Caenorhabditis elegans: one gene and its partner. The protein of the gene in region 2 interacts with the protein of the main gene of each other region in a pairwise test. Each region holds a gene or a part of one and is shown on either strand. Other genes may lie near its edges. The genes, in order: cul-1 and skr-8.

What was found.
Region 1: the proteins of skr-8 (region 2) and cul-1 interact in a two-hybrid assay, tested with the Caenorhabditis elegans proteins (2 studies listed by BioGRID).

What each region holds. Positions count from the first base shown.
Region 1 is NC_003281.10:10,465,105-10,479,851, reverse strand, and holds cul-1 (Cullin-1), read right to left. Parts: upstream 8,616-14,747; 5' UTR 8,615-8,615; coding exon 8,487-8,614; intron 8,433-8,486; coding exon 7,202-8,432; intron 6,680-7,201; coding exon 6,218-6,679; intron 6,059-6,217; coding exon 5,732-6,058; intron 5,677-5,731; coding exon 5,614-5,676; intron 5,100-5,613; coding exon 4,968-5,099; 3' UTR 4,723-4,967; downstream 1-4,722. Other genes in the region: D2045.9 (Glycosyltransferase 25 family member), read right to left, coding at 408-563, 777-1,125, 1,568-1,795, 2,030-2,481, 2,773-2,932, 3,605-3,864; D2045.5 (non-specific serine/threonine protein kinase), read left to right, coding at 10,349-10,381, 10,436-10,886, 11,174-11,745; atx-2 (Sm domain-containing protein), read right to left, coding at 12,440-12,540, 12,598-12,810, 13,266-13,557, 13,665-13,979, 14,117-14,526. UniProt on the Caenorhabditis elegans protein: Probable core component of multiple cullin-RING-based SCF (SKP1-CUL1-F-box) E3 ubiquitin-protein ligase complexes which mediate the ubiquitination and subsequent proteasomal degradation of target proteins.
Region 2 is NC_003282.8:17,160,029-17,171,477, forward strand, and holds skr-8 (Skp1-related protein), read right to left. Parts: upstream 5,807-11,449; coding exon 5,222-5,806; downstream 1-5,221. Other genes in the region: skr-13 (Skp1-related protein), read right to left, coding at 2,069-2,587; skr-9 (Skp1-related protein), read left to right, coding at 3,545-4,129; skr-12 (Skp1-related protein), read left to right, coding at 7,246-7,764.

The DNA of each region.
Region 1 (14,747 bases), on a different chromosome or scaffold from region 2:
AAAATGTTGAGAGGTATTTTGAGTTGAGCGTGGTGGACAATTAAGTGAAAGTTAAATTGAAAATTTTGTAAAATTCAAGGAATTTTATTCAATAAACAAAATGGTAAGTAGTTAACAACAGAAGTTTAAAGGCGCACGCATTGTTTAAGTAGGTCCTTGGAAAATATCGAATTTTCATTTTAAAAATCGATGGAATAATTATCAATAATTCGTGAAAATACCGAATATTTTCTACTTGTTAAAGTTTTCGTTGCGAGACCCGCACGGTACAAATGCGCGCATTTTTAAAACTGAATAAAACCCACTTCGAGAAAACCGAACATTTTTGGATGGGAAAGAGAAAGACACCCACACAAAAATGATGAATAACAAGAAATAAATAGAATTTAAACAAAATTTAAATAAAATCACAATTCCTCGCTTTTAGGTTTCGGTGTCACAATGACGGAATCTTCAGTGTCGGACACGTAACCAGGCTCATTTGTGTATTTTTGAGGGAATACGACTAATGGGTAAAGGGTGAAAGCTTCAACGTCGAGGGGCTCGAAGTGTAACGACCAATCCTGAAAACAATAGGTATGTAGGTAGGTAGGCAGGTATGTAGGTATGTAGGTATGTAGGTATGTAGACATGCAGGTCTGTAGGTATGTAGGTATGTAGGTATGTAGGTATGACTTTTCCATATGTTATCGGTTTTTCAAAATATATTTGGATTTTCCAAATATTATCGAAAGTCATTAAAGTGTTTATATTCTTGCGCAAATTTTCAGGCTTACCTTATTTGGATGTTTATTAAACATAATCGGCAAGTATTCATCAACTGGAACCATCTTCTTCAACGGATTCGGTCTCAGAAGCTTCCGCGCTCCATTGAGAGATAACATGTAACCTAGTGTCCAATATGAATACTCAACAGACGATAAATGTCTGTGCTGTGAAATCCATAATTCTTCATTTTCAGATTGCTTTTTCCGTCCCAAATAAATCAAATCCCACGGCTTATGTGAAGCGTCTAGATCTTGAAGAACCTCCCGAATTCTGGTCAAACCGTCGTGTGAAAATCGGAGATCATCCTCGAAAACTATCACTTTCTCGTAGTTGTGTTGAACGACGTCTTGCCATACTCTGGAAGAAAATTTCGATGGTTTTTTTGTTTTAATCAGTTTTGTTCATTTTTACTTTTCAACTTTTCATGACAATGCAGAAAATGCCTTTTTTCCAAAAAAGTACATAATTTTGAGAAGAAAATGGTGCATCGAGTACAAAAGTTGGAATTCCGAGACTAGGCCAAAATGTATACTATATTTTACGAAAAAATTGTTTGGAGTCAAAAAAGTAGTGTAGAATTTGTCCTATTAAACATAGCTCTTGATTTAAATATTTCAAAATTTCGTCGCATTTCTGGTTTTTCCCAGTTATTTATCTTTTTTTGACAATGTTCCAAAAAAACATTATTTAAAATAGTTCGTGTTTCATGAACACAAAACATAGTGCATCGATTAAAAATTTTAAAACTTTAAAGCATTTTTTGACATTTTCAATTGTTACATAAGTTGTTCTCTCCCACCTGTAATGGCTCAAAAAGCATCCAATTTCTCCATTTTTCATGGGCCTTTTACTAATTGGGTCTAGGTATCCTTCCAGTATCTGATAATTTTTTAGCTCTTCCGGCAGCTCATCAAGCTTTTGTCCATCGGTAGCTTCTAGAAGAGAATATTCGATTCCAAGAATATCAAAGATTTTCTGCATTCTGTTGAGACGTTCCTGTCGGCGTTTCAGGTTTACCAAGTAGATTCTGTAAAAAAGATTACTTTTAGGTAGATCAAATTGATAAGTTGAATATGGTGCATAGGTATTGATGGTTTCACACATCGCCTTGGTGCAACACACTAGTATGTTAATTAATACTTTTGAAAAATTAATAGTTTGGGTCTCGTTAAGTATTGGTGGCAAAGCCGCAAAAATAAATGTTTCTAATCATATGTTCTTCTAACTTTCAAATTTTCCACGTCAAATATGATATACTCACTTATCAACACCCTGCTTCGTGGCTTCTGATTGCCATGGTCTCACACTTCTGGAAACAAATGGAAGTGGCCGCTCATCGGCTAAAAAATCCGCAATTTGATATCGAATCGTGCTTCTTCTCTCTTCAATATCCTTCTCCGGATTCACAAAAAATCCATAATTGACTTGATTGTCAGCCCATAACTGTATACCCATATTCTTGGCAGACACCACAAAAACTTCCGACGGATCATCGGCACCTTCATAATTTGGAAGATTATCCTTATCAAATGTTAGATAAGATGAATCAATAGTTGTCAAATCAATTGCCAATGGAAGTGAAAATGACAGAATTTCTTCGCGAACATTATTTTGATTTATGAGGGTTTCAGAAGGTTCATCGATGTTGGAGGATCCATCTATTGATTGGAAAAGTGGGGATACTGCCACGTGGGTTTTTTCGTTGAATAGAAACTGAAACTTTTGGAACTGGATTTAAAAAAATATATATTCGATTTTTTTTAAATCTGAAACTTTCCAATTTTTAATTTAGACTTGTCAAAACTAGATATATGTATACAGACTAACTATAATTTAGACTTTGAAAATTGTTGGAGATGCGTCAAATATGGTGCATTTAGTCCACAACTAAAATATGTGCTGAAGCCATCTTCAATGCACCATCACTTGAGTTTTTCTTAGCAAATTCCGTCAAACGATGCACCATATTTGACGCGCAAATCTAATTTGTTACCTATTTCTCACCTGAATCAAATTCATCTCAGTTGGAACTGTATCTCCTGAAATAAGAAGACAACGTTCAACTTTTTGAAGTCTCGCATTCCTCAATCCGCTTTCCAGCCAATTTTCTGATTCTTCGATTATTTTGACAGATTTGAAGTATTGTTTTGTAGAGTCTAGCCACCTGAAAACTACGTTTTTTGGAAAATTATCTGACAAAATATTTTCCATGCTACAATTTGTTCGTTGCCATTTTTTTTCAGCAGTTTTTTCAAAAAGTTGCAGGAGCACGAAGTTAAGGAGCCTAAGCGTAAACCTAAGCCTAAGCGTACGCCTGAGCCTAAGCCTGATCTTATGCCTAAGCCTAAACCTTAGCCTAAGCCTAACCCTAAGCAAAATCCTAAGACTAAGCCTAAGCTTAAGCGTAAGCCTAAGCCGAATCTTAAGCCTAAGGCTAAGCCTAAGTCTATGTCTATACCTAAGCCTAAGCCTACGAATAAGCATAAGCCTAAGCCTAAGCCAAAGCCCAAGCCCAAGCCTAAGCCTAATTGATGGAATCAATTTGAAACTTCAGACTTAAGCTTCTTGGTGGCCTATACGACTCTCTGTTAAATTTCGCTTTGATCGGCCAACGGGAACCCTTTGAAAAATGAAAAAACGCTATAAACCCAAGCCTAAATAGCGTCAGCTAACGCTCGCCACTGACGCCAAGCCTAAACCTGCGCCTAAGCCTACGCATGGGCATAAGCCTAAGCCTAAGCCAAAGCCTGAGCCTAAGCCTACGCCTACGCCTAAACCTAAGACTAAGCTTAATCCATGTTCCTGTGGTTTGCAAGTTATGCGCCTTTAAACCAACCATTTAACCTGATGAATCGTCGCATCTTCCTTGCTTAAAATGAAAATTTCCACTTTAATCCTATCCTTTGGATAATCCAAATTCTCCAGCCAACCCAAAAAGTATGGAATTGCGTGGGCGTGCTCACCGAGCCCAACCCCTATATACACCGGCGGATAAATGTGCCGAACGTCTCCCTCATCTGGCTCAGCTCCCGGAAATAGAGCCCACGAGCTCAGAAACACGTGGAAGAGTAATAAGCAGTGTAGAAATTCGGTCATATATTTTGTGAAGGGATTCTGGAAACTTTTTATCGATTTTTTTCAAAAAAGTTCTAAAAAATATTAGAATAGTAGAATTTTTTAAAGTTTCCATTATACAGTGAAGATTGGAATTTCTAATTGCGATTTTTACGCCAAAAAATAAGATATCCCGGTCTTGAAACGACAATTTTCGTTAAACGCAAAAGGATGTGTGCCTTTAAAGAGTACTGTAATATCAAACTTTCGTTTCAGCGAAATTTTAATCGATATTTCAAAGTTTTTCTCACAATTTTTGCTGAAATTTATGTACGTTTACTGTTATATTTTTGAAATAAACAAATGTTTAAAGTAAAACTTTTTAAAAAAATCGAAGAAAATTACACAAAAACGAAAATTTGAAATTACAGTACTCTTTAAAGGCGCACACCTTTTCACATTTAGCAAAAATTTGTCACGTCGAGACCGGGTACGGAAAATTTCGCGACTGTGTAATAAAAAACAACTGAAAATTCAAATTTCCCGGTCAACGCAACGTGGAAAGTTAGCCTTCAAATAGTAGTCTATAAACAGAGAAGACTGAGCAAAGCATTAGTGTGAAGACTCAGAGCAGTGGGAAAAAGTGCATCTGGTGAACAGACGGAGGGGTCAGAGCAGCAGTAGTGTCTCATCCAAATTGTCTTGTTGTAATAATTCGTCATCGATTTTTTTGTTGTCTGTGGTTCAAGTGACTACTCACCTTTTTGCATTTGGCCTTGAAAAAACTGAAAAATTCACTTGGAAGTTGAATTTTTTTTTAATTTTTCCGAAAAAAGACGAAAAAAAATCAAAAAGGTTTACCGAGTATACGGTTTTTCGAATATTCTACACACAAACGATTTACAAAACCCAGGACCATTTACCAGAGAGCGCAAAATGAAGCCAGGACCCGCTTCTGTAAAGAAGAACAATCGAATAAGGAGGGACTTGGAGAGGAGAATAAGTAATAGAATACAGATGGTGTTGAAGTTTTCAAAAACACGGATATGAAGGGAAGAAGAGGGTGGAGAATAAAACTGGGCGAAAAAAGTAAAGGGGAAAAATAGTTTTTAAAAGAGAAAATAGAATATTTAAAATGAAATGAATTAGGCGAGGTACTCATAGAGATCTTTTTGTCCTTCTGTACGGAGCATATATTCCTTTTCGATGAGTGATCCAATGCATCTCTTGATCATTTCAACCTTTGGCTTGAATCGACCGGAAAGTTGTGTGATCACCTGCAAAAATATCATATTTAGAGGGTTTTAGATGTTTTTTCTTTGAATTTCCAAGTGGAGTTTTTTAAAATTTCAAAGAAAATTCGATTTTTCCGGTGATTTTTTTTTTTCAAATTTCATGGAAAACTTGATTTTCCACGTGGATATCATCTTTTATTTTAGGGGTTTTAATTTATTTCTTCAGAATTTTGTGTTGAAAATGCACTACGAAAGCTCGAAAATTTTGAAGATTTTTTTTTCAATTTTTACAGAGTTTCTACCAATTTCAGGTGAACTTTTTTTTTGAAAATTGAATTTCCAAGAGAATTTTATCGAAATTTCATAAGAAATTCGAATTTCGACGCGTTTTTTTTACGAAAATGTATAGAAAATTTGAATTTCCACGTAGATTTTATCAACAAATTATGAAAAACTCGTTTTTCCATAATCAGATTTTTTTCGAAAGTTCATTAAAATTAAATTTCCACGTAGATTTTATCGATTTTTTTCGAAAATTTGAAATTTCCAAACGAACCTCTGTCATAAGCTGCTGATGCTGTACACGTTTGCGAGTTTTCATGATTCTTACGATGCAAGCCTGAAATTATTGAATTTTTCTCTCCAAAACCGCCGATTTCTCATCAAAAACTTACACTAATCACGCTCTTCCGATCCTCCTCAACATTTTTCTGCACATTTTCCGTATCACGCACGGCGTCCTGCTTCATCGTGAATTTTGACAAATCGACACGAACTTTCTTGTTCATGTAGGCTTTGTTGAGGCTTACGGTCGCCGTCATCGGTACTTCATCCTCTTTTTGGAGTTCTGTGTCCGCTTTGAGCACAAGATTTTTGATGAGAGAGCCGACAATGGCTGGTGCTGACTTTTCGTCCATTTTTGTGGCAGCGGCGATTTGTTCGACAGTGTACGAGTCCTGTTCGTTGAACAAAAGCATTGTGCACATTTGAGCAGTTGTGGCCTGGAAAATTTTAGGTTTTTAGCTGTTATTCGATAAAATCCAAGTGAAAATTCAAATTTTAGCTGGGTGGCAGATAGTAAAATTTTGGACTTTTTTCAGGCATTTTCTTCCGGATTTTTAAAAAATATTTTTAGATAGAAATTCCACGTTTAAACTTACAGTAAACACATATTTCTTGGGAAAAGCTGTAGAAGTGATCTCTCCACGACTCTGCGAGTAAACCCACGTGAGCCGACGTCCATTGAACTTCTCATTGTAGAATTGTCCAAAGATCTCAATAGTCTTCGACAGCTGCTGTGGAAGAGTTATTGGTGTCGTTGGGAAAGTCGGCCATGAGCCCGAACTGAGCACGAGAACATTGAATTCAACGGATTTCTGGCCGAGCATATCCGCTTTCTTTTCCTTGAAATCCGCGGTTAAATCCTTGCTGACTTGAGTATCGTTGACCATTTTCGAGAGACGGGCGGTATACTCGTACCCGCACATACTCTTGAGCTTCGTGATAAAGTTAGCCTCGGCTTCATCACTTGCTGAGAGTTCACTGATAAGTCGTTTGCTGAACATTTTCGTGTAGAATTTGGAGAATACATCCTTATCGTCAATGTACTTGAACACAACCATCTGGAATAGAAATTTTAGAATTTTGAGCTAACTTTTTAGAAATTGGGTTTTCATTTCTATGGAGGTTTGAAATATTTTAAATCTTTTAATCCTTTAATATGGCAATTTTAGATAAAACCTCAAATTTTCCCGTATGTCGGAAATTGATTTTTAATTGATTACTGGCGTTTTTCGTTGATTTAGGTCGATTTATAGCCACATTTAAACGTCAGAAAAAGGTAAATAATTGAAAAGTTGGGAAAATTGCCGTATTTTTCGAAATTTTGAGAAGCCTCGATATGAATCGATATGAAAAAATCGGTATGAAAAACGATATGAAAAAAAGGAGAGGAATCTGTTTTTTTTTTTCAGCGAAAATCTCAAATTTAGCCAACTTATCAGTTTCGCAGTGTGCACTCATCGATCGAAAATGTTCCTCAATCAACGAAATAAACAACCAAAATATGCAAAAAGTTGGTTAAATTTCAAATTTTAGCTGGAAATTACGCCATTTTGAGAAAAAAAAAAGCGAGAAAAACCTACAATCTTCGTCTGCAACTCCTCGAGCTCCGCCTCATCGGGCATCTTCGAGCTTTTTCTGAGCAGTTGATCACAATATCTGGCAAGAAGCTCCGCGGACTTTGTCAACTGAGCCTGTGGCGGGGCACGTTTAGTGACGGCATTATTATTGATAAAAGAAGTCGCCGCCTTATCGAGTGATTGCATGAATCCTGGCTCATTTTTGAATGATCGATTGACAAGGCTTTGATAACGTTCATGAACCTCCAGAAGCGTCTTCACGTAGAGTTTCGCGTCGGTTGCCGCCTCCATAGCAACTCTTTCCAACGCCTGGTGACCCTCCTTTGCGATGTGATTCTCCAGGGATTTTCTGAGCTCGTCGAGTCCATTCGGCACTCTATCGCAAAGCTTGAACATTCTGGAAAGGTCATCGTCTCGTTTATCGACAAGAAGACCACCGAAGTGTCTCTGGAGGAAGTCAAGCTGATTAGAGATGAGCACAGATTCACAGCAAGTTGCAAGTGGAGTTTTTGTGGAAGAATTCAGGTAGAGTTGACAGCGATCATCCTCTTGATTAAGTCTTGTCTCCACTTTAATCATGTAATCTGTCACATTTCCTCCGTTGCTCAGGAAATTTGCCGCCTCTTGGGTATAAAATCCGCGGGTCGCCTCCAAAAACTTGACTTCGAAGAATTCCTTGTAAACGGCCAGCTTCTTGGTCTCCGCGTCCTTCTTCGCATCGGTCTCCGAATCGTCAACACCCAACTCCACAAGACACTCGACAACTCCAGAAATGTATCGGCTGTTGATCATGGATCCGGTTCTCTCGGAACGAATCAGCTCGAGCATCGCATCAATCACCTTATCCTTAAGATCATTGAACAAGTTACGCTTCCAGACGACCAACGCAAGTGTATAAACCATGTAAATGTTCTCATGGCCCTCGTCGAGCTCACGTCTGATCCAATGACGATTGAGGTAGGCAAAAATACCATCCATCACCTTCGACGAGATTCGGAAGTTCTCCCATTCAGTTGTGTAGTATTTCAGAAGATCCTCGCCCGACAACTCGGCGCCCTTTTCACAAACAGCGATTACGTACGCTTTTACATATTCCTCAACACGCTGGTACATCTCGTGACCGACAAAATCCGCGCCAGCGGTTCGTGCTGGAGTTGAAGATTCTGCTCGACCGTCTTCGCCGTCTCGGCGGCTTGTGGACAATGTTATCGATGTGCAGTAGTCATAGACGCTTCTGAAAATTAAAGATTTTATTGAGTTTCTGTGGAATTTCGGGGGGAAATCTTACGTGTAAAGAGTCATATAGTCTTTTGGCGCCATATTTTCTCTGCGATACGCTACATCAAGTCCATCTTGTAATTTCTTCCAAACCACCTCGGAATCACACGTCATTCTTCTCGGTTCGCTATTTGTCATACTGAAAAACACATTTTTAAAAAATAATTGTCGATTAAAATCAAGGGATTTGTCAATTTCGCAAGAAACAGAGGAACGAGGAAACAAGGGCCCAAACGCAAACGCGCTCCAATCCAAAATCATCATGTGTTGGGAAAAAGTCACCGAAGGTGGAAATAATGGGCTTGAAATTGAGAAAATTTATGAGATCCCGGAAAAATAGATGTTTTCAAAAAAATTGGAAAACTGGAGCAAAATTGGGGGAGAAATATAGATATCCTGGAAGAATAGAAAAAAAAGACGAAAATCCAGAGCCATCACTGAATGGGGATACTTGTGAGCCAGCAGACGTTAGAAATGACTCGATAGTGAGCCTCCGACTGGAAATTAAGAAGACGCGCTGAAAATCGCGGGAAGACAGTAAATCGATTGCCCTCGGACGCGATTCTCACCGCAAATCGATAAATTTAACTGGGAATTGGAGGGAAAATAGGAGATTTTCTAATTTGCTAGCCTGGGAAAAGGGGAAATTAAATAAATACATAAGGAAATTGTTCCAGCGATAATTCTAGCTTTTCAAGTGATACTGGGGAAATAAATTAAATTGTTCTTAACAGGAGATTTTCAAAAACTCTGTGAATTTTGGAAAATTTTCAGATGAAAGACACCTAAATAATAATAATTTTAGACTATTTCATTTTCCCCGGGACTCAGGAATTTCCAAGAACAGAAAAAAAGCGAATTTCAGTTGATTTTTCAGAGCCCATTTCAGTGAGCTAAACACCCTTGGAGACGGAGACTGCGCGACACAAGCTAGAGACGCCTCATCTTGTGTCTTCATCGATTCTTAAAGAAATTCTGGTGAGTACAATGGTTCTGTTAGTGCACAAAAGACAGCTGAGATGGCGGGATGATCTGGAAAAGAAAGGTCACAGGAGGGAATGATTAGCGGCTGTGCAATGAACGGGCGGAGTTTTCTAAGGTTTTAACAATAGCAAAGTTTGTTTTTTAGGTGTTTCGATGTGCAAAATACACGAAAGCGAATTTTTAATAGTTTAAAGTTGAAAAACGCGTTTTCATTCGAGAAAAACTGGAGAAAACATGCATTTTATGCAGAAAAAAAAGTAAAAAAAGAATTCGATAAAACAACAGGTGGAAAACAGATTTTTAACTGTACATCGATCCTGGCGATGCCCAAAGGAAATTTTAATTAGTGGAAGTAATAATCGAAGTACTGTAGAACTAGGTTTTTTAAACAGGAGCCCATAAAACTGTAATCATTTTTTATATTTCTATTGCGGAAAAGAGGAGAAATTATTCTTTCACAAATAAATAGACAAAAACTGAAAAAAAATGAACAAAAATCGCTGTAAAACTCGAAACAGTTCTTGGCGGGACTCGGTAAACTTATTAGTTCGTGCGCCTTTAAAAAGATACTGTACCTGGAATAACAAGAAAAAACAACATTAATTAAATCTAAGAACATTTTGTATTCTTACAAGACTTACATGATTTATCAGAATATGTTGCAACTATTTGGTATAAAATAGGAAATAAATAGTTTTAGAATTTTCACCGTAATCATATGATCGGTGAACAACGGCCGTGAAAAATAAAAAATATTTTAAAATGTGAATAACAAAAAACCAATACATAAAAGGATTGAATAAATAATTAAATTTATTTCAATATTTCGAAAAGCTACATTTCTCTATTAGCTACACAGTTTCAATCGATTTCGTGGTCAGAATCAGTATGGAAGAAATTCAAGCGATCACAGAAGGAAAAGTGAGTTTCTCTGAGCATTTTCAGCCGGAAATTCACAATTTCCCTCAATTTCAGATAATCGCAAAGCGTTGGAAAATCGTTGAAAAACTCGGCGAAGGCGGTATGGGTGCGGTGTTCAAAGTACGAGATCTGACCCGCTTTCAGACATACGCCGCAATGAAAGTCGAGGGAGACGTGAGTGACGGCGGGGTTCTGAAGCTGGAGGCTCACGTGCTCAAATCACTGGCTCCACTGCCGTTTTGTGCAAGATTGATGGATGCTGGCGATCGAAAATCGTATTGTTTCATGGTGATGACTCTTCTTGGCAAGGATCTGATGGCTCATAAACGGGATGCTAATACTCCGAGATTCTGTGAGCAGACGACTCTTCGTCTCGCGATGGCAACGTTGTTTGCTATCAAACAGATTCATGAAGTGGGATTCACTCATCGGGATATTAAGCCGGGAAATTGTGTGACCGGGGTTCATGGGAGTGACGCCAAAAACGTCTATCTTATTGATTATGGTAAATTTTTACGAATTTTGACGATCCCGTTACTCGACACGACAATATTTTGTTTGATGCGAGAAGGTGTGCGCCTTTAAATGAGTACTGTAATTTTTTTTAACTGTTTTCCTTATGTTGCGTTTTTTCTCGAAAAAAAAACACTTTCCAGATCCATCCTCTGAATCATGAAAAACTGAAATGTACAGTAATCTTTAAAGGTGCACGTCGCATTCAACACACATGTTTGTCGTGTCGAGACCCGGCACCGTATTTTTGATTCAAAAATCACACCAAACTTCGTTCAGGAATGGTCCGTCAATTCACCGCCAAACGAGAGAACGGAGAGACCGCACTCCGCAGAGCTCGATCCGGCGAGCAACTATTCCGTGGAACTCCTCGCTATTGCAGCATGAACGTTCACAATCGGAAAGAGCAGGGACGCGTCGATGATCTCTGGTCGTGGCTCTACATGCTCATCGAGCTTCATTGTGGGCTCCCGTGGCGCCGACTGACCGATGAGAAGGAGATTATGGACGCGAAGATTGCATGCTCCATGGAAACTTTGTTGAAAGGGTGTCCCAAGGAATTTGCGAATATTCACAAGTACCTGGAGACACTGGAATACAAGAGCCGCCCGGATTATTTCGGCCTGTGGAGCGAGTGCTTTGCCGGTTTCAAGAGAGTCCGTGGATCGTTCTTTGGCCGATTCGAGTGGGAGCTTGGGAAGGGCGGTGGTGAGGAGATGTTCACGGCTCTGTCGATCAGTGAGAAGAGAGCTCCTAACGATTATAAGGTGGCGACGAAGATGCAAATGGCGAAGAAGATCTGGCCGTATGCGGATTCTGCTCATTTTAAGAAGAAGATCCTCAATCTTTGAACTATTTCTGAACTGATTGACCCCTGAAACTATGAATTTGTGAAAAAAAATACAATGAGCAATAATTGATGTTTATTACATCTGGGGGACGGGGGAAAGGGGCATTCACTAGAATATGAGTAGTGTGCGCGAGATGGTTGAAGATAATAATGTTAAGGAAATAAATTATAGATTTTGTTGTGGGGGGAGGGATGGTATTGCTCAAAAAAAAAGAAAAAAGGAAGGATTATTGGTTTGGTTTTACAAGAAAAAAAAAGAATAAGACGGTCTCGGAAACGGATAATCAGGAAGGCAGAGCGAGAGAAATAACGAATAAAAAGTGAAAGGAGCATTTTGACATGATCCTTCGTGTACGGAAAAGTGTACTTTTTCCGACACTACAAGTAATTTGTGTGGGGAGAAGGAGGAGGAGGAGGTATTGGCGGTGTGAACTTTACCCACAAGAGGGGATACAAAGAACACACGGTTTTTTCTAAAACTAGAACATCACATCTTGTTGTTTATGACGGAATTTCGGAATTCCACGAGATTTTTGTGGTTGTTGTAGATGGTGGCATGGGGGAAGGGGGGAGAAGCGGATTTTTGATGAAAAGAAGGAAGAGAAGGAAGAAAATAAGAATATTAAAATGAATATATATTGGGGAAACATTATATAAAGCACTGAAAAGCGCAGGAAGAGCGCATATAGATATGATTACGGGGGGCTCTGAGAGTGCTGCTGATCACGTGGTGTGCCTTGTTGAGACGGTGGTGGCGGTGGTGGTGGACCAGATTGTTGACCAGATGGATTTACACCTTCAAAGCTTCATAAACGGTTAGAAATTTGAACTTTATAAACATTTAAAACATTACCTTGATTGCCTTGGAACTGCTGTGGAAGCGAATTCTGGCGGTGCATTTGTTGCTGTTGCTGTTGTTGTTGTTGCTGATAGTTTGGCATTGTACGGTAGTCAAAGTATCCCGACGTCGGGAATCCTTGATCAGATCGCTCGCCCATAAGACTTTGTTGAGGATGTTGGTTCTGTTGCATTGGCATCTGTTGGGGCATTATCATCGGATAGAATACTTGCTGAAAATGATTGAAAATTAGATTTACGTTTTTTTCTCGGTTTTGTTCTTTTATAGAGTGTGAGACATTTTCAAATATTTCTCAAAAAATGGTAATTTTAAATAAAATCTCAAAATTCAATTCAAAAAAAAAATCTATCCAGAAAAATTGCCGAAATAGGAGATCTCAGCTAAAATTTGCCAATTTTTCGTTGATTTGGGCACATTCAAGTTCTACAGTCGGAATCGAAACTTTCTCGCTATTTTTAAGAAAAAAAGTATGAAAAAAAACATTAGGCAATTTTTTCTCCTTTTTCACTGGGCGATTTCAGCTGTAGAACTTGCAGATCTACAAAAATTTAGCAGAGTCAATCACAATTTTGTTCTGAAACTTCTGAAAGAAAGGAAAAAAAACAAGAAAACCAAAAATCAAAAATACCACTGAAAAAAGGAAAGAAAGAGAGAGATTAAACATGCCTGAGGCTGCTGATAGTAATTAGGGATCTGCGGATGCATTTGATGCGGTCCCTGCATCACCATATACTGTTGAATGTGTTGCTGCTGCTGCTGCATCATCTGTGGTGGTGGTGCTCCGACGTGTGGAGGAGCATGATGTGGTGGATGTTGTTGTTGCTGATGCTGCTGCTGTGGTGGTGGTGGTGGAGGAACAGCACCTGGTGGAGATCCGCTTCGTTGTCCCGACTGAGAGCTCGTCGATCCGCTGTGACTAGCGTTGCTGCTCGACTCGGCCTGCATGTTTCCGTTCTGAAAATAGAGTCACGGTCACAATATTGAAAAGCTTCATCTTATTAGGCACAGAAAGTTTGAAAGAGGGAAACATGCGAATAAGTTTAAAAAAAAAGAAATCTCACCTGTGGAGCACCGCTCATCTTTGGCAACTCGCCACGTGGTCCCGGAGTCGTTGGCTGACTATTCGGATGTGATTGTGGGCGACTTTGCTCTCCGGAGAATTGTTGTTGCTGCGGTTGTTGCTGTTGCTGTTGCTGTGGTGGTGGAGGACCCTGGTATCTCGGCTGCTGCTGCTGACCCTGTGGAGGCATCATGTACACTTGTGGCTGCTGATATCTCTGTTGATAGGCACCCTGTGGAGCTTGCTGTGGCATCATCTTCATTTGGTATGGAGCAGCTTGCTGCATCTGGCCTTGGTACTGTGAATGATAGAATTGCTGAAAAAATTTAGAATTTTTGGAATTGAGAAATCAGGAATTTTAGATTAGGAAAAGTTTAAAATTCTAAAAATTCAAGGCCTTTAAAAATAAATGTTTTCCCTATTTCTACAGGGATATTCCAAATTTTCGGTTACCTGAGATGTGACTGGAACCATTTGTGGCGGTCCATATGGCATGTAGAGTGGCTGCTTCTCACGATACTCTCCATCTCTCAACTGATGATTCTGACCACCAGCCGCACTGGTTGGCACCTGATGCTGCTGATTTGGCTGCTGAGCAACAGTGACCGGAGTCGCAGCTCCCGGGCCATACATCTGTCCAGGAACACCTTGCATTGGGACATGTTGAATTGGGAATTGATGATTCTGTGGATAGCCGCCACCGCCTTGTTGCTGTTGTCCAGTCTGTTGCCACATCATCATCGGTGGTTGACCTTGATTTTGTGGGCCGCCCATGTGTGGTGGAACCATTCCCATTCCAGGAGCAGGTGGTCCTTGTTGTGGAGCCATCATTGCTGGATGTGGCTGTTGTTGTGGATGATATTCTGAAAATTTTAGAGTTAAAACTCCGTCTTGGCAGCCAAAATTTTTGTATCAAAAATTGATACCTATGTGTATTTAGAAAAATATTTATTTTGGTTTAAAAATTCCCTCTCAAATGACACAATTTGAGATCTTTCTCAAACCTTTCAACAAAAATTATCTTTTTTCTACATACATTTCTGTATTAATTTTTGATACAAAAATACTGAAAAAAAGCCGTTTT
Region 2 (11,449 bases):
GAAACAGGAAATTTTTTTTCAAAAAAAAAAATCCCAATAATACATTTATTCCTAAAAACCTTTCAAATCCAAAATCCAAATTAAGTTGCAAAAATGTTCGCTAAAAACATTTCAGACACCCTTGGGCTTTCAAGTAAATAACAATTTCAGCGGCCGACATTTTTCGGGTTGGAAAGGCATAGCTCGCCTAACAACCCAGTTTTCAGCAGTGCTCGACGTTATTGTTTAGTTTTCGTAACCCGGAAAGTGTGTCAGCCACAAGATCACTTGACCTAGAAGCTTCCAGAAACCCGAAAACCTATGATCTACTATCAATCTACTATTTAATCGTTCAAAACCTTTACTGAAATCCCCTACAATTCACCTCTTACTGCACCCTGATGATTGTTTACCAAATGTCTCCGCGAAAATGTCCACGATTCTAGTAATATGTCTGTCAGATTAGCGGGTGTTACCACTACAAATTTTGTTGATAAAGGGTGTCACGAGCCACGTTGACCACGAAAAGAGATGGGGAGGGTGAATTTTAAAAACATTAAGGGATTTTGGAGGGCTTCTGGAAGAGTGAAAATATTTTTAAGATTAAAATTAAGTTATTTAAAATTTCAAACTCAAAGTTAAACTATTAGAAAAGCATTATTTATAATTGATTATAATTTCTCTGAAACATTAAAAATAAATTTGATCAACAAAAAAAAAGAAAATCAGTTTTCCAAAACAATTAAATTTAGTCCCAAGAATGAAAACATCAGAGAGGTATTGAAAAGAAATTTAAAATTAAACAAATTAAAAACTCTTGAAACAGTAATTTACAAATGTCATTCCTTGAAAATTGTCTTTTTGAAAATTTAGTTTTTTTAAAGGATTTTAAGTGGTAATGTTATTTTGAAAAGTGGTTTTTATTCAAAAATTTGGAAATCTTTCATTACATTTTAGTACACAGTTTAATGGTGGGTTTTACATTTTTGCAAAAAAAGTTCAAATTCCTGACTGAGTAATTTTTGAATTCCCGCGCAAACAAAAAATCTGTGTTGGCTTTCAAACTTTTTTGGTACTCTAAAATTGTTCTAAAAATCGAAAAAAAAATGTCTGAAATTTAAAACTTTTTTTTTGCAATATCGAAAACTTCTGGTACATTTTTTAAACAGTAGAATTGCCTTGTTACGATCCATTTCTATATTTTACAGCAGAACTCCTGTCAACCATACTCCACCTCTGGATTGTTTTCAAAAATTAAAAGTATTAAGAAAAAAAAATTACAGTTTCAAATATGTCTGAAAAAAATTACAGAAAAAATATCAGCAGTACGACCAAAAATGAGATTGAGTTTATATGTTTCAAATTTTTTTCATGAAATTTCGGGAACTAAGAAAAATTCAACTGAAACTATAATTGATGTTTACGTGGAATTAGGAAGAATTCGACTAGAAGGCAGGCAGGCAAGTAGGCAGGAAGAAAATATGTACTTCAGAGTAAAATTTGGTTAGTTTTCTTTCAGGGATTTGGAAATTGAACGTTTGCTGGTGATTGCCACTTTACATTAAAACAACAATTTTTTGATAATGCATGCTGACAATTGTTATTAAATTTTCGAATTTCCTGCAGTTTCAATCAGGTTTTATAAGTTTAAAGCTTTCTTGAGCTACACTTTAACAAATATAGATTAATAAACTATTAAAATAGGTAATTTTTGAAAATTAATAGTAACCCAGAAAATAAAATTTTTTTAAAAAATATTAGAATCCTCTGATAAGGAGAAGTACAATGGAAAATCTGAAAATTGAAAAAATTTTATGAAACACTTGAAACAGGAAATGTTTTAATTTTTGATAAGATGTTGTCTCAAAAATTGCAACAATTACAAATTCTCTCCAAATGTTTTTTTTAAGTTTACATTTAAATTTTCACAACTTTATTTTCTCTGTGGAATGTGGGAGAAATAGGCAAATAAACCCACCGTGGGCTCATCAGCTCACTTTTGTCGTTTGTGTAAAATTTGCTTAGTTAGCTTTATTATTGTCAACAGCGGAATAACGATTTGTCGTAATTTTAAAAAAACATCCATAAATTAGGCAACTTCAGCGGCAGCTTTCTGTGCAGTTTCCTCAGCAGCATCCTGTTCATCCGTATTGATTCCAAAGATCTCTCTGAGTTCAGCAGTTGTTTTGCCCTTTGCCATGTTGGAAACAGTCTTACATCCATAGTACATGAGACCCTTGATGTCAAGGAAGTTTGAAGCCAGAATCAAATCAAACAGAGCTTCATCCTCAATTTTCAAAAACTTTTGATCCCATTCTGGAATGGTAAGAGTCTTGAGAACATTCATATTGTCCTCTGGAATTGCATCGGCTTTGTGCTTCTCACACAATTCAGCAACCTTCGCCATAGTCTTTCCATTCACATTTGTAACTGGAATTGGATCACGGGTCTCGATGTTTTCGATGGTGTAGCCGAGATTCTCAATCAGATTGCTCAGAGTTTTCGATTGTTGAACGGCTTTTTCACTCATTTTGGATACAACTCCATCGCTCGAAATGATCTTGTAAACGATTTCAGCAGCTGGAGCATCGGCAACTGGAGCAGACATAGTGATGACTAGGTAGATTCTGAAAATGTCAGATATGAGCTATTTAGGTTCAAAAGTTAAGGTTCAAAGAAAAGAGAGAGAAAAATTGAGAAATCACTATTAAAAAAAACAACCAGTTCACAATGCAACTGATGTATCGAATGATGGATGACTGAATAGATGTGCTCATACGCGACGCGCACTCAAAATAAATCGATACATTTCTGTGGGAAATTACCTAACCGTTGAGGGATGACTGGGAAAAATGTAAGGTTGACAGATGTGATCGACTCGAAGAAAACTAGAATCGATGAAATTTGAAAATAAAAAATTGGAAGAATAAATTTTAAAAATTTACTGTTTCAACATAACTTTATAAAATGTCATCTTCATATTAATGATAATGCTGATGTAAAATGGTTGGAAGATTTTTGGAAAAATGCCAAATACACGCAACACACAAATTGTACGGAATTGCAAAAATCACAGGGAAAAACTGAAAGTGAGTGCCTGCCACTAAAGAAAATAATGTAGATTGAATGCAAGTGAACATGATAGGTAATTATAGACAGTGAGCAGTCAGCCGACGCTGTGCTGAAAATCAGTCGATAATATAATGGGTAAGTCCTCTGTCGAGCTGAAAGAAGAGCAGCTGGTAATTGTTCACTGACCTAATACGCAATCGATAAGCTACATTTGCAGCGTTCTTGTCATATTCTGAATATTGTCCATTCGAAGAATCATTCTGTCGTTTGGCTCGCATCGCGAACAGTCGCATTTCATTTTTTCTCTCCTTTTCTTTATTTGTCTGATTTTATTTTAGTTTTTTATTTCCTTTTACCTTTCTGATCTTTTGAATGGTGCCCAACTACCCTTTTATAAAAAATTTTCTCTTAACGTTATTCCTCGCCAGTCTTCCATATTTTGTTACGATCTTTATCAATTCATATTTTTTAGAAACTACCCAAACTTCTAAAAATGATTGCTGAAGCCGCCGCGGTCGAAGTTCAAGCCAACGAGGCTCCAGTTGTTGCTCCAATCATGTACAAGGTCGAATCGAATGATGGAAAAGTGTTCGAAATCAGTGATGAAGCAGTTAAACAATCAAATATCCTCTCCAATCTGATCTCTACTTGTGCTCCAGAGGATGTTGCTTCAATGGATCCAATTCCAATCACAAATGTCATTGGAAATATCCTGAAGATGGTCATTGAGTGGTGTGAGAAACACAAAGGAGAAGCGCTTCCAGTTGAAGATGACAGTGTTCCAAAGCATGTCAATGTTCCCGAATGGGATACCAACTTCTTGAAAATCGACAACGACGTGCTCTTCGACTTGATCGTTGCCTGTAACTACCTTGATGTGCCTGGATTAATGAATTACGGATGTAAGATTGTTGCCATGATGGCCATTGGAAAGTCTCCAGATGAGTTGAGAATCATCTTTGCAATTCCAACTGATGAAGAGGATGAAGCTGCGGAGAGAGCTGCTAAGGAGAAGGCTGAAGCTGAGAAGAAGGCAATCACCGACAAGGACGCAGCTGAGCCATCAACTTCCAAATAACTTTCACACTTTTATTTTCGAGTTTTTGGTAAATAAATACATTTGACTGTCATTATAAGTTTTTAAAAAAAAATTTCAGACTGAAATTGAATGTAAAAAATAAGAAAAATTAGTACGTATAAAAGAGAAAATCTTAGAATTTGTTAAACAGTTGATATAGTGTTAAAGTTGTACGATATAACTGTAAACCGTTTCAATAATTATTAGTAATATTATTACTTACAGTTGATTTGAAAACGAACATTCCTTAAAAAAAACCAATATACAAACGTTATGCAGAAGTAAGCTTTGAAATAATGAAAAGTAATGCTTGTAATATTTTGTAAAAACATTCGCGAAAAGGGCCAAAAAGATTTGAAGATGTTCAACGAACAATTTGTAGACTACACGTAATTCAAATTTATTCGATTTTTTTGGGTCAAATTCCAAAACTATGATAAATGTTTGACTATTTGAAATCTTCAACAAAGAAATCCAAATATCTTGCAAATTGTTGTGCTCAATTGAATAAAAGATGGAATAAAACAACAGAGTTGGAAACATTACATTTTTGAAACGATAAATTCGAAACAGTAGATTTTATCAGAATAAAAACTTTTTTTAAATTTTTTTTGTATTATTCTTTCTGTGCTCGGCCTCATTTTCTTGAAAGTAAAAAAAAATCTGAAATTCATATTTACATAAATTGTAATGGCAGCCAAAGGTGTTAGTTGATCAAAAACTCGAAAAATTTGTTTCATGGAAACGAGTCACACTAAGGTAGGCGTGTCATGTAGGCACAACCGATTTTTAGAAATAAATATAATTGTTCGAGCGTTTGAAATAATTAACAAAAGAATTCAAATGTTTTGCACATTGTTTGGTAATGTACTCTTATGATTAAAATTGAACTACAATTGAATTGAGTGCTATCATAGTCCTAAAATTATGAATCCAAAACCGTTGGTTTTCTTTTTCTATAGGTAATCCTATTTTTCATGTTTTCGACTACATCTTCTGTAATTTTAACTTTAAATTATTTTTATAAAAACGTCGAATCACAATCAAATTTATTAATGTCATCAAAAACTTGAAAAAATTAGAGCATGAAAGTTATTTGGAAGTTGATGGTTCAGCTGCGTCCTTGTCAGCAATTGCCTTCTTCTCAGCTTCAGCCTTCTCCTTTGCAGCTCTCTCCGCAGCTTCATCTTCTTCATCAGTTGGAATTGCAAAGATGATTCTCAACTCATCAGGAGATTTTCCGATAGCCATGTTGGCAACCATCTTGCATCCATAATTCATTAATCCAGGCACATCAAGGTAGTTGCAGGCAACGATCAAGTCGAAGAGCACTTCGTTGTCGATTTTCAAGAAGTTGGTATCCCATTCGGGAACATTTATATTCTTTGGAACACTGTCATCTTCAACTGGAAGCGCTTCTCCTTTGTGCTTCTCACACCACTCAATGACCATCTTCAGGATATTTCCAGTGACATTTGTGATTGGAATTGGATCCATTGAAGCAACATCCTCTGGAGCACAAGTAGAGATCAGATTGGAGAGGATATTTGATTGTTTAACTGCTTCATCACTGATTTCGAACACTTTTCCATCATTCGATTCGACCTTGTACATGATTGGAGCAACAACTGGAGCCTCGTTGGCTTGAACTTCGACCGCGGCGGCTTCAGCAATCATTTTTAGAAGTTTGGGTAGTTTCTAAAAAATATGAATTGATAAAGATCGTAACAAAATATGGAAGACTGGCGAGGAATAACGTTAAGAGAAAATTTTTTATAAAAGGGTAGTTGGGCACCATTCAAAAGATCAGAAAGGTAAAAGGAAATAAAAAACTAAAATAAAATCAGACAAATAAAGAAAAGGAGAGAAAAAATGAAATGCGACTGTTCGCGATGAGAGCCAAACGACAGAATAATTCTTCGAATGGACAATATTCAGAATATGACAAGAACGCTGCAAATGTAGCGTATCGGTTACGTTGTAGATCAGTTATTGATTGGAAAATGTACATACACTGCTCTATTGAAGCTGTATTAGCTGCTGTTCTTCGTTCACCTCGATAGTCACAGGGACTTGTCCATTGTGCAGTTCATCGATTAATTATTAGCACAGCGTCTGCAGACTCTGTATTGCTTGGTACCCATTCTTTCATTATGCAATTTTTTGTTCAAGGCGAGCAGTGTTCTGATTTTTTCCATGTTGCTGTTTCTTTTCCCATTTCTGGTTTTTTTTACTACCATTTTCTATTACGCACACCAGATCGTCGTTTTAAAGTGCAGGGCTGTACAACTAATCCTAACTACTATGCTGACGATATTTTCTTACATAACACTGTGTTGAAACAATAAATTTTAAACAGTTTTTTCCAATATTTAGTTTTGGCATATCAGCGATTTTAGTTTGAACCCAGTCGATTAAATTTCTTTATTACTTCTTTCCTAGTCATCTCTCAACGGTTAGGCAATTCCCCACTGCAAAGTATCAATCTATTTCGTCTGCGCGTTGAGTCTGTGCACAATTTTTAGTTATTCATCAATTATTCTATCAATCAGTTGCATTGTGAGCTGTACATGACAGGAGCATCATCATTGATATGGAGATGAACTTTTCCTTTTTTTTTGGGATGAAAAAATTCTCAAAAAATTTTCCCGTGGTGGAGAGTTGAACTCATCCCCTCCCCCCTAGGAACTTGTTGCCTGTGACTAAATTGTTTGTTTGTTTTTTCCATGAGTTCAACTCTCCACCACGGGAAAATTTTTTGCGAATTTTTTCATCCCAAAAAAAAAGGAAAAAATGGTGTAACAGTTAATTTTTAATAGTTATTTCTCCAATTGTTTGTTTTGAAATTTTATCGGTTCGAGTTTGCGTCCAGTCGATCACATCTGTCAACCGTACATCGTTACCAGTCAACACTCAACGGTTGGGCAATTTCCCACAAAAATGTATCGATTTATTTTGTGCACAACTGTTTAGTTGTTCATCGTTTATTCTATTCATCAGTTGCATTGTGAGCTGGTCGTTTTTTCCTCTTTTCGTTTGCTTTTATTCATTTGTTTTATATTGTTTATCTTATTCAATTAATCGTTCAAATTTTCAGATCCTCTCTACTTACAATAATGTCTGCTCCAATTGTCGATGCCCCAGCTGCTGAAATCGTTTACAAGATCATTTCGAGCGATGGAGTTGTATCCAAAATGAGTGAAAAAGCCGTTCAACAATCGAAAACTCTGAGCAATCTGATTGAAAATCTCGGCTACACCATCGAAAACATCGAGACCCGTGATCCAATTCCAGTTACAAATGTGAATGGAAAGACTATGGCGAAGGTTGCTGAATGGTGTGAGAAGCACAAAGCCGATGCAATTCCAGAGGACAATATGAATGTTCTCAAGACTCTTACCATTCCAGAATGGGATCAGAAGTTCTTGAAAATTGAGGATGAAGCTTTGTTTGATTTGATTCTGGCTTCAAACTTCCTTGACATCAAGGGTCTCATGTACTTTGGGTGTAAGACTGTTTCCAACATGGCAAAGGGCAAAACAACTGCTGAACTCAGAGAGATCTTTGGAATCAATACGGATGAACAGGATGCTGCTGAGGAAACTGCACAGAGAGCTGCCGCTGAAGTTGCCTAATTTTTATCACTGTTTTTGATGCACGTCTTTTCTTTTCTATCAAAGAAATTGTTCCTAATTCTTTTAACAAACACATTTTTTGTGACACATGCCGAATTTGAACCAACCATAAATATTTTTAATTTTAACAAAACTTCTACTGTTTCACATTACTGATTTTTGAAAAGCAATTTTCCTAAAACTGATATACGCCAAATGAAAAATTCCAAATGTTCATTTTCTCAGTATAATTTGGGGAATTTTTGATACTGAAACTAGTCCACTTCATAGTAATCAGAGCACAACAAAGACCCGAGCGAACATGTCTATGTTGAAGGTTTAATTAAAAAGAAAATAAAACTGGGGTAGTATTCAATTGCCTTAAGACTAAAACAATCCTCATCAAACGAATATTTATGTGAATTCACAAAAACGCCTCCAAATATTATAGTCTTTCTGCAACGGGGTAATATTTCCAATTTTGCTAACTTCTACAGAGTTACTAAATAAAAAATCAATTAGTATACGAATAAATTAAAATTTTCTAGTTTTTTAAACCAGAACACATCAGTGAACAAACACAGTTTAAAAAACTTTTATTTTTAATAGACGCGGCAGGCGAAATTTAGAAATGTAGGATTACAAAGCAAGCACACTTCCAAATTGTGTTATTTCATTTGCCCCGATTTGCTGTGCAATAATAATACTAATGTAGTATATACTTCACAACGTGATGTTGAATTTGTAACAGTGAATTGTAAAATACTAACAATGCTGGGAAAAAGTTGAAAATGTTCATTTTTTGGGGAATTTTAGGTTACATTAAAAATGATTTGCAATTTTGTTAAAGGCGACATACAATTCAAAAAAAAAATCCAGAAACAATCAGAATATTAGACAACTTCGGCGACAGCTCTCTGTGCAGTTTCCTCAGCAGCATCCTGTTCATCCGTATTGATTCCAAAGATCTCTCTGAGTTCAGCAGTTGTTTTTCCCTTTGCCATGTTGGAAACAGTTTTACACCCAAAGTACATGAGACCCTTGATGTCAAGGAGCTTCATCCTCAATTTTCAAGAACTTCTGATCCCATTCTGGAATGGTAAGAGTCTTGAGAACATTCATATTGTCCTCTGGAATTGCATCGGTTTTGTGCTTCTCACACCATTCAGCAACCTTCGCCATAGTCTTTCTATTCACATTTGTAACTGGAATTGGATCACGGGTCTCGATGTTTTCGATGGTGTAGCCGAGATTTTCAATCAGATTGCTCAGAGTTTTCGATTGTTTTCAACTCCATCGCTCGAAATGATCTTGTAAACGATTTCAGCAGCTGGAGCATCGGCAACTGGAGCAGATATAGTGATGACTAGGTAGATTCTGAAAATTTAAATTGTAATTTCGGAAAATATATAAGCTTAAAAACAAGTGAGGAAAATTGAACCGAGAATCAAAAGAGAAAAGAAAGAGACGACCAGCTCACCGGGAACCAGCTGGGTAGAATGAAAGAATGGCTAAGACAGAATAAGGATAAGAATGTGCTCTGACTCAACGCGCACCCAAAATTAATCGATATTACTTCAATGAAAAATGGGAAACGATTCATATTCGCATACGACGACACTGGAAATGAAGTCAAGAAATTGACTACAGGGTGAGTCAAAATTATGGTAAGTCGAGGCGCGCGCGCGAAAGTTCTGTGGTTCGGGTCTCCCCGCCAAAATTAATTGATTATGTTATTTCGTGTTTTGTTCATTTATTTTTCCATCGTTTTTCCTAAAAAATAATTTTTTTTTCGCAGGTATGAGAGCGTCACCCATGCGTGAACCCATCGTTCGTTTTCATAGGAATGGTGTCGCGGCGAAGAGCATTGCTCGACGGCTCAAAGTGTCTGAAAAACTTGTTTCTACCACCATTGCACGGTTCAAGGAGCTCGGCAACTTTTCCGATAGATCCGGACGCGGAAGACCCCCCACAGCCACTACACCAGCGATGATAAAAAAAGTTCGTGGACGCTTCCGTCACAACTCCGGGCGGTCGGTCCGTGCGATGGCCCGAGAATTGAAAATTTCGCAAAGTTCTCTGTGCCGAATGGTAAAAAACAACTTGAAATTGAAGGCTTACAAAAAATCTACTTGTCAATTTCTGTCTGAAGCTGCTAAAATCAAGAGAAAAGACCGTGCCATGAATCTACTCCGAAGATTCAGAAATGGAGCTCACAGGAAGGTACTTTTCACCGACGAAAAGATATTTTGCATTGAGCAGTCTTTTAATACGCAAAATGATCGAGTTTATGCAAAAACTCAGCCAAACTCCCGCGTTCAGCGTACTGGTTACCCGAAAGGAATCATGGTCTTTGCCGGAATCACTGCTAATGGAAAGACTCCACTCATTTTTGTTCCACAAGGGATAAAAGTTAACGGAAACAACTATTTAGATATGTTGAAGACGGAACTCATGCCCTGGGTCAAGAAGCATTTCAAAAAAACAAAATGGACTTTTCAGCAGGATGGGGCGCCTGCTCATAAGCACAAGAACGTTCAGGCATGGTGTGAAAGCAACTTCCCGGACTTCATCGCTTTCAATCAATGGCCACCGTCATCCCCGGATCTCAATCCGATGGATTACTCAGTATGGAGTGTCCTCGAAGCAAAAGCTTGTTCAAAACCGCATAGGAATATCGATTCGTTGAAAGATTCACTGAAGAAGGCATGGGACGAGTTGGATATCAACTACTTGCGCGCCACAGTCGACTCGTTCCCTAGGCGTCTGGAGGCCTGTGTTGCTGCTAATGGAGATATTTTCGAACTTTAAAATGTTTTTCTATAGTGTTTTTTACGGTGAATAAAATGTGTATAGTTAGAAGTTGTTTGTGTTTCTGGAAAAATGTATGGAGCACGGGAACTACTTACCATAATTTTGACTCACCCTGTATAATCGATTCGTTAAAATTTTACGGTTTCAGAAAATCGTTATAAATAGACCATCTATTATGGTAACCGTTCATCTCGAAACTAATGAAGGAAATTTAAACAAGAACCCTCCACAAAACTGATGGGAAGATTTAAACGGGAAGTGGCTGAACTATAGGCCAAACCGACAAATCTAGTGGCTATGGATCGACCTTGAAACGGTGAGATTCAAAAAATAAAATTTTTCAAAAATTGGTGGAGTCAAAAGGAAATTTAAAATAGTTATCCTGCAAACTGGAATCAAAAAAAGTTAGACAGGATCTTAACAAGATAGTTTCAATGTACTAAAAAAAAGTACAGAATAGAAAAAAAACATTAAGAAATGAGACAAGAAAAGAGAAACGACTGCTCGCATTGAAGAAAAATTCGAGAATGAATGAATGGGTAATTATAGGCAGTGCCCAGACTACAGACGTTGTGCTAAAAATTAATCGACAAGTTGCACAAAAGGCAAGTCCTCTGACTCTTGAGCAACACAATGAACAGCTGCTCTCCAACGACCACAATGAAATCTCGAAGATTGCCAATCGTTAAGTCTGCCACCTGGTCCTACATTTAGACTGCACTTTTTTGCAAAAAAAAAATTTTCGGATTTTTGGCAGAAATTTCATAAAAATGGATAGCTTTTTTTTTTTTATTAATATGGAGTACGATTCTGGGTCTAGAAATTCGATTTGGGCCCCGCTAGAGGCGATTTGGTCTTCAACTCATTTTTTTACATACTGCACTTTTTTGCA